Linked DNA regions of Bombyx mori. The protein of the gene in region 1 purifies or fractionates together with the protein of each later gene. This does not show direct contact. Links are inferred from orthologs where the notes say so. Each region holds a gene or a part of one and is shown in the gene's direction. Other genes may lie near its edges.

What was found.
Region 2: the proteins of RRP12-like protein (region 1) and pre-rRNA-processing protein TSR1 homolog purify together in Homo sapiens (affinity purification with mass spectrometry; 3 studies listed by BioGRID and IntAct, counting the BioPlex papers as one, with this or other methods). This does not show direct contact. The link is inferred for Bombyx mori from reciprocal best matches to the Homo sapiens genes RRP12 and TSR1.

Annotation. Positions count from the first base shown.
Region 1 is NC_085122.1:2,609,107-2,613,326, forward strand, and holds the start of RRP12-like protein, read left to right. Parts: upstream 1-1,407; 5' UTR 1,408-1,593; coding exon 1,594-1,729; intron 1,730-1,937; coding exon 1,938-2,190; intron 2,191-2,880; coding exon 2,881-3,007; intron 3,008-3,392; coding exon 3,393-3,692; intron 3,693-3,801; coding exon 3,802-3,885; intron 3,886-4,220. Other genes in the region: merlin, read right to left, coding at 721-807.
Region 2 is NC_085128.1:3,653,815-3,657,768, reverse strand, and holds the start of pre-rRNA-processing protein TSR1 homolog, read left to right. Parts: upstream 1-1,141; 5' UTR 1,142-1,175; intron 1,176-1,471; 5' UTR 1,472-1,610; coding exon 1,611-1,707; intron 1,708-1,775; coding exon 1,776-2,046; intron 2,047-2,131; coding exon 2,132-2,870; intron 2,871-3,119; coding exon 3,120-3,629; intron 3,630-3,739; coding exon 3,740-3,954. UniProt on the Homo sapiens protein: Required during maturation of the 40S ribosomal subunit in the nucleolus.

The DNA of each region.
Region 1 (4,220 bases):
TTCATTGTACTATTTCTGATAAAATTTAATCTTTGACATTCAGTTGAGTGATAACTCATGTTATAATGTCAAAGGAACTCATTAATCTTCACACAAAATATACAGCATTTACAATGTTAAGTATAGTAGAAACTTCTTTGTTAAAAAAATTATATACATCCAAATATATGTGATATTCAAGTTTACATATTTAGCTTGCTTTTAAAAACTGTCTAAAGTTACACATTCTAAAGATATTTATTATAATTAATATAAAATGACTTCTGTTTTTACACTCTTTAATTTTTAAAATTACATTAGTGTTTCTAATATTTAGGAAATGAAAACATTAATCCAAACAAACTTTTTAATTAAATTTCTGAATATTATATTTCTATGTTTTTTAATCAAATCATTTTAAAAGAAATCATCATCATGAAGAAATTTCAAAACTTAAATATTTAACGCGAGCAACCTTACATACATGGTAAAAATTTAAAGATAATTATTATTTATAATGACATTTTTATTAAGCAATGTGGTCAAACAGATAAGAGTCATAGAAGATATGATCATTATACCCTCAACATACAAAGTACTTGCAATGTTCATTAATATCATCAATTAACAAGTGCAGGGCGCCTCCGCATGACTCATAATACGATCGGATGAATACTTAGTACCTACTAAATGGAAATAGTGTAAACAAAAAGGTTTACCACAACAGAAAATACAGTTTACCTCGAGGTTGAACTCCAATTCAGCATCCAATGTGCATACTTTAACTGGAAAAGATTTAGCAGCTTTCTTCCTCCGGAAGGGCGGCATTATTCTTATATCATTTCTCGTTTACAAGAATCACGAAACACCACCGAGGTTATGAATTTTCAACTAGCATTTAACTAATTACACGGCAACGTCTCCCGTTTACGTAATGAACACTCGATAAAGGAATGCGTGTAATTTCACATTGCGTACTATTTCCAGCGGTTATTATTTACAAACAAGAAAAACGTCAATGAAACAAGCAATGCGAAGGTGAATGAAAAACCTATTGAAAGGTAAACGTTCCATTCTACTTTAAAATACATCGGACTGGTCATTGAAATGAAGTTTAGGTCACGTATAACGAAACGTAATATGGATTTGAAAAATGAAAGAAAAAATCGGACAATGGGTTCAATGAAGTGATATTAGTTTAATAAAATGTTGCGGTTGATTCCTGAACTGAAATAGTTTATTTTAATATTATTATTTTTTAGATATTTAATTAATCTAATATTTTTTAAGTAATGTTTTTATTCCGTAGTTTACCTAACTCTAAACTTCAGCTCTCGACCCCGATTAGATGTGATCCACAGTATTTCTAACTACTCTTAAATCTAATTGAAACAGTTTTACTTTGCAGGATAAGACTTGCGTTCATTATCCATTTTGCCTAGAAAGAATGTGTTTGACGTTTGACAGTAATTTGACAACTATTTCATTTTGCTTGCTGCATAGACCTATTTCCTACTTCATTGGCTTGCTGTCATTATTTTCAATCAAAACACTGAACACTTTTTCCCCACGTGTGTTACATCTTTCATTTGCATATTGTTATGAAATACTAAAATGGGTAAATTTAGATCAAAACTTAAAGGCAAAACGAAGGGGAAACGATGGCAGAAAGGACAGTCATCAAATTCGAACCCGAAAATTCAAAAATACAGGGAGATGGCAAAATCCCGGTTTTTTCAGGAAAACTTAGGTATGTTCTCTCTAAAACTTCTCAAAATCATTCGTTATGGAAAAACGGATTTATAAACATCACAAAAAGTTGTTGAACAGTAATTTCAAAGTAAAATTTCCTTATAAAATCATAACCTAGAACATGACTAAATTAACTAATCTCATACTTTTTATGTTAAAATTAAGATAATTTCCTTATAAGTGACTCCTCTAATTAACTTCTACAGGCAGCACTGGCTTAACACAGCAAGCGGTGTCCAAGCATGAAGCTATGATGACATATGGACATAAAACTAACAAAACAAAATCAGATGCTGAAAATGAACTGACCATAGTAAAAGAGCTTGAAAATATGTCGGTCAAGACCGGAGACGAGGGATCAGAGTCTGAATACTCTGGTACATTAAGATCAGGAACATTTAAGACATTTCAAACATTTGCATCTGATTGGAGTCAATGTTCAAATATCAGCTTTCATAAGTAAGTTAAAGTTTAAATAGATATTTTAATTTTATTGCAGTATTTGAGACAGTACCTGAAAACAGGTTTCTATACTCACAATTGCTAATGTGATATTGAAAATAAAATACAAAATGTGGATAATTACTTAAGTAAGCCTTTATATGCACTTTAGTTATGACTTTAAATAGTCATGACTAGGAATTATTTGGAAAACTACTTGGAATAGAAATTATTTGGAATTCAGTGGAATACTGAATTATAATTCTAAGATGAAACTTAGGACATGTTCTTCTTAAAAAAATCTCTTTTAATCTTTTTTCATTTCATACTTTAAGTACCACTTTTTCATGAGAGACTTGCTTATTATAAATTTGGAATAAATTATATCAAGTACTAAGAATTTTTGTGAAATAATTTATGACCAAAACTCATTGCAACAAAATAAAGTATGCACCAGTGAATAAGTAAGAGCTAAACAAATATACTCTCAGATATATTCAATTGATACTTGCAGAAGAGAAAGTATTTATACATATTTGGCTATAATTTTACTTTATTTTTTATATTACTTTGACTTAAATCAAAATCAATTTACCGAAATACCACATCACATCTTTTTATTTCTTCAATAGATTGAGTCTTTAAGTTTAATGCTCTTCATTCCTTTATAAGCTAAGATACACTCATTTTTTATAAAATTTACTGTAGATTGCTAAATCGTTTTGATTCAAACAATGCACTGCACAAGGAAATGCTAGCAGTGCTGGCGGCTGTGACTGAAGTTATCAAAGAACAAGGAGGTAAAGAGACTACAACGGAATACTTTGCTGCTCTTGTAAGTAATAACGGTCATAAATTTCTTAAACTGAAAGCTGATATCTTATACTTGGATATATAGATACAGTGAAACTAATAATAAATAAAAATAAATGAAACTAATGTTTAAGTGATGGCAAAATTTTCAATAATATCTTCTTTTTGTCCAACTAGTGGGTCGGCACAGCAAATTATTCTACTCCATTCTTCTCTTTTATCAGCCGTCATCTTAACATTCACTTCCCTCTCATATCGTCATTCACACACTCCATCCATGTTTTCTTCGGTCGACCACCTCTACCTTGCACTACCATTTCCATACATATCCTAATCAAATGCACCTTCTCTCTACGCATCACATGTCCAAAATTTTTAATAATATACTACTATATATTTCTGTATAGATGGAAACTCTAAAGGCATCCGAACTGGAAGACAATTTAGTAGCCACAATAACTTTACTATCAATGGGCATCAAAGCAGTACCACAAGCAGTACTGCGTAAACAATTTTCGGACTCCTCAACAATATTTATGGAATTACTCGAGGAGCATGCTCAGTCTGAAAATGGAGCATTGCTGAGGAGCACAATTGGATGTCTGTCGGTGCTGCTGAGAGCTCAGGAGTATGCTGTCTGGGGTGATTCATCAACTATGAGAGTGTTTGAATCCGTTCTGGCCTTTGCACTGCACTCTAAACCCAAGGTCTGTTCTGAACCAGATATTAATTTTATTACTTTTTGAATTGATTTTTATATTGGTACAACTCACACATTCCAAATAGTAATTGTTTATAATTTTGTAATCTGTGCAGGTTAGAAAAGCGGCACAACATGCTGTGGTATCTATACTACGCGGAAGTAGCTTCATGATACCATCAGAGGATAAAAAAATTAAGGTATTTGAACAAAATCTAATTATATATTATGCTTTAATGAAACGTCCAAGTTTTCGAAGTGCATTTATTAAGTTACTGTTACATAAACAAAGAACGACAAATATATAATGATTATAATAATTATGAAAACAAAATAAGTTTTTTTTAATATGGTCTAAGAGCTGAGTTACGTTAGCAATACTAATGTCACAAACAAGCTGGTGCTGTATACCAATCTTCTCAAACCTCGTTTGAATTAGACCATATTGTGCACTAAATACTGTGGAATGGATTTCAACCCTCAATTCAATTCAAACGCAGTGTCTAGATCTCTAAGTGGTAAGAATCAGCTGTAT
Region 2 (3,954 bases), on another chromosome or scaffold:
GTATGTAAGTAATTCTGACCTGTAGGACAAACTCAATAAAGGGGGAGAACAAAATAAATGGTTTATGCATATGAAAGCTCTCTAGAAAACTCAGCAAGATTTCAACAACAAGATTCATCACTAACAAATCCATTCTTTTTTTATTGCTTAGATGGGTGGACGACTTTACCTGATATTAAATGGTTACTGGAGCCCATAGACATCTACAACGTAAATGCGCCACCCACCTTGAGATATAAGTTCTAAGATCTCAGTATAGTTACAACGGCTGCCCCACCCTTCAAACCGAAACGCATTACTGCTTTACGGCAGAAATAGGAAGGGCGGTGGTACCTACCTGTGAGGACTCACAAGAGGTCCACCAGTAAGTACCACCAGTAATTACGCAAATTATAATTTTGCGGGTTTGATTTTTATACACGATGTTATTTCTTCACCGTGGAAGTCAATCGTGAACAATTGTTAAGTACGTATTTCATCAGAAAAATTGGTACCCGCCTGCGGGATTCTAACATCGATGCATCACTAGATCCGAATGCACCGGACGTCTTATCCTTTAGGGCACGACGACCTCAAAATTCGACATCTTCTGAAACTGCCGTTTTTGAACCAGAAATAGTTTATAGTTCCAGAAATCACGCTATAAAACAGGATCGTGTACAAATGAATAGACAATAACAATAGTTAAATAAAAAAAATATATATGTTTTTTAAACTGGCGGAAAGCCACGTTCAGCAATTTTGTTTCATTTCCCTGCTTAAGAGACTTTTGCTAAAATTATATGATTACCTAATAACTTGTAACCATTAAAAACTGTATAAAGAGGAAGAAATTCTAAACTGAGAAAATGAAATCGCTTAAATAATAAGCGTCCTAAAATTAAGTCAAAAGGTCCCTAATTAAACTGAAATGCACCGCTGCCTAAAACTGTTTTAAATTAATTTAAATATGTAATTCCTTTTCCAGTCATTTTTTTTAAATTTCATGGAAAAGACATGGCTTTAACCTTTATTACAAAATTAATTATTAATTAAATTATTTTTCTTTTGCCTTGTCAATGAACGAAAAGGAAAAAAAACGGATGTAAGACTGGTTTTGTATTATCTATGACTGGTATATTATCTATGACCAGATTGGGACTTTTTGGCGGGAACGCGAGGAGTGAAGTTGTGTGGTTTGTTTTATTTTGTCAATTTAATGTTTCTTCAGGTTTACATGTGTTATACACATAATAACGGTGGTTTAATAACTGTTTAATATCTGTGAAAGTGTATAAAGTTGCTGGACGTAACTTCTTGGTATCCTCCAAAAAGTTCACTGAAAAAATCTCAGTAAATGATTACATTACACTGAGATTATATTTCATCCCATATCATCTCATCTCATTTCATTTCATTTCATGTCAGTCGATTAATGTCTCAAATTAATCATCTTGATTTCACGCCATTTTATCATTTTTCTTAAAAATAGGAGACGTGACTTAAAGGTATTAGTTACCAAGTCATAAAGTACCTTATCAAAAAGATTGTCAACATGTGCTTTTTTTATTAGTAAATAAATTCAAATTGAAATCAGCTAGCTTGCATTTAAGTTTTGAAAAACAGTCAAAATGCAACAACCACATCGTCCCGGCCATTTCAAGCAGAGCAATAAAACTCATAAATCACGCCATCGCTCAAAACGAGGTATCGCCGCTGCTGTAAAAGGTTAGGATGTTTTCACTAAACCTATAAAATCGCTATTATAACTTTATTTACCTAAAGCTGTGTTTCAGGAAAAGTCAACTTGAAAGAAATTGTTCGACGTAATCGTCGTGAGCTTAGAAAAGACGATCGCCGTCATCAGGCTTCACAAATTCGCAAAAATAAAAGGGAAGAGGTTCTAGCTACGAAACGTGCTTTAGGAGGCACTAGGAATCCGCCGTTTCTAGTTTGTGTCGTTCCGCTTAATGCGCAACTCGATGTAGGATCGGCACTCGCCATTCTGAAGACCTGTTCTGATGGGGCTGTCGTAAACGAGTCTGAAAACGGAATTGTACACATCGGGTATGTTTATGTTTGTACTATGAACATAAAGCTAGACCTCAAAATTGACAGTAATTTTGCTGAAAATAATTATTTATCATTCTAGGTTGCCAAATTTCAAACAGCGGTTTTCGTTTATTTGTCCTGAAGTAGGTGACGACTTTGCACTTCTTGATGTTTTAAAAATAGCTGACACTGCCCTCTATGTAAGCTCAGCTTTAGAGGAACCAGTTGATGAATGGGGAGAAAAAGTTTTAGCACTCTCTATGGCCCAAGGAATGCCTACCCCTGTAGTAGTAGCAATGGATATAGAGGGAGTCCACCCAAAGAAACGCACTACAGAAAAACAGAATGTTCAGAAATTGGTCTCAAAATGGCTTCCAGAAGAAAAGGTAATGCAATTAGATAAAAAATCAGATGGTTTGAACTTGTTAAGGAAAATAGGAAATCAGAAACGTAACATAATACATCATAGAGAGAAAAGACCTTATATGCTGGCTGAGGAAGTTGAATATGTACCCGATTTAGAAGGTAACAGTGGTACTTTAAGAGTATCAGGGTATTTACGAGGAATGGCACTTAATGTCAATGGACTTGTTCATATTACTGGACTTGGTGACTTTCAAATGACTAGAATAGAGGGTTTTGAGGACCCCCACCCATTTCATTTGGGGAAAGAAAATACTAATGATGATGGTATGTATGCTGAAGTCACAAAAATGTCAGTTCTCGCAGTAGCTGATCCTGCGAAGCAAGAGAGTCTTCAATCAGAGAATGTGCCAGACCCTATGGATGCAGAGCAGACCTGGCCAACTGAAGAAGAAATTGAACAAGCTAATTTAGAGGTAATGTAAAAATAATTGTAAAAATATTGTCAAGTATATTTTGCTGGAGAGTAGTACATCTTGATTCAAAACATAAAGCATTGATTTTTTTTTTTTATTGCCTTTGTAGGCAGACGGGCATACGGCCCACCTGATGGTGAGTGGTTACCGTCGCCCATGGACTTCAGCAATGCCAGGGGCAGAGCCAAGCCGCTGCCTACCGCATGTAATGCAAATAAATAATTACAAAATTGTCTAAACTGTTTACAGACACAAAAGAAAAAAATCAAGAAAGTACCCAAAGGTTGGTCTGATTACCAAGCTGCTTGGATTGTCGAATCTGATGCCGAGGAAGATGGTGATGAGTCTGATAGTGGAGATGAGAAAGAAAACGATGAGTTTATGTCTTGTGAAGATGATAATTCTGATCCAGAGGACGATAAACAGTTCAATGATATTGAATCTGTTACCGAATCAGAGGTTGGACCCACAGATGAGAAGTATGATGCCACAATAGACACTCAGGAAGAACATGAGATGTTGCAGAAGTTAGCAGCTGCAAAAGAAGATCAGCAATTCCCTGATGAAGTTGATACCCCGCAAGATATCCCAGCTAGAGAGCGTTTTATGAGATACAGAGGACTAGAGTCTTTCAGGACATCAGCATGGGATGTAAAGGAAAATTTGCCTCAGGATTATTCTAGAATATTTCAGTTTGAAAACTATGAGCGCACCAGGAAGAGGGTTTTTAAGGAACTCGAAGACAGTTTAGTTAATATGGTAAGTAGAGTATAGAAAACTTTTTTTTTTTCAATATTCATGTTGTGTTCGTTAACAGTTTAATTTATGTATGGTATTGATTTAATACAAAACCAAACATTTTATTACAGTATGGCTTTTATATAAGAATACATGTAAAAGGTGTTCATCAAGATTTATGGAAAGCCTTTAGTACAGCAAATCCGAATGCTCCGTTGGCTGTTTTCGGACTTTTACCACACGAACACAAAATGTCTCTGATGAATGTAGTATTAAAACGCACTGGTGCCTGCAATGAACCTATCAAGAGCAAGGAAAGACTTATATTCCAAGTTGGTTATAGAAG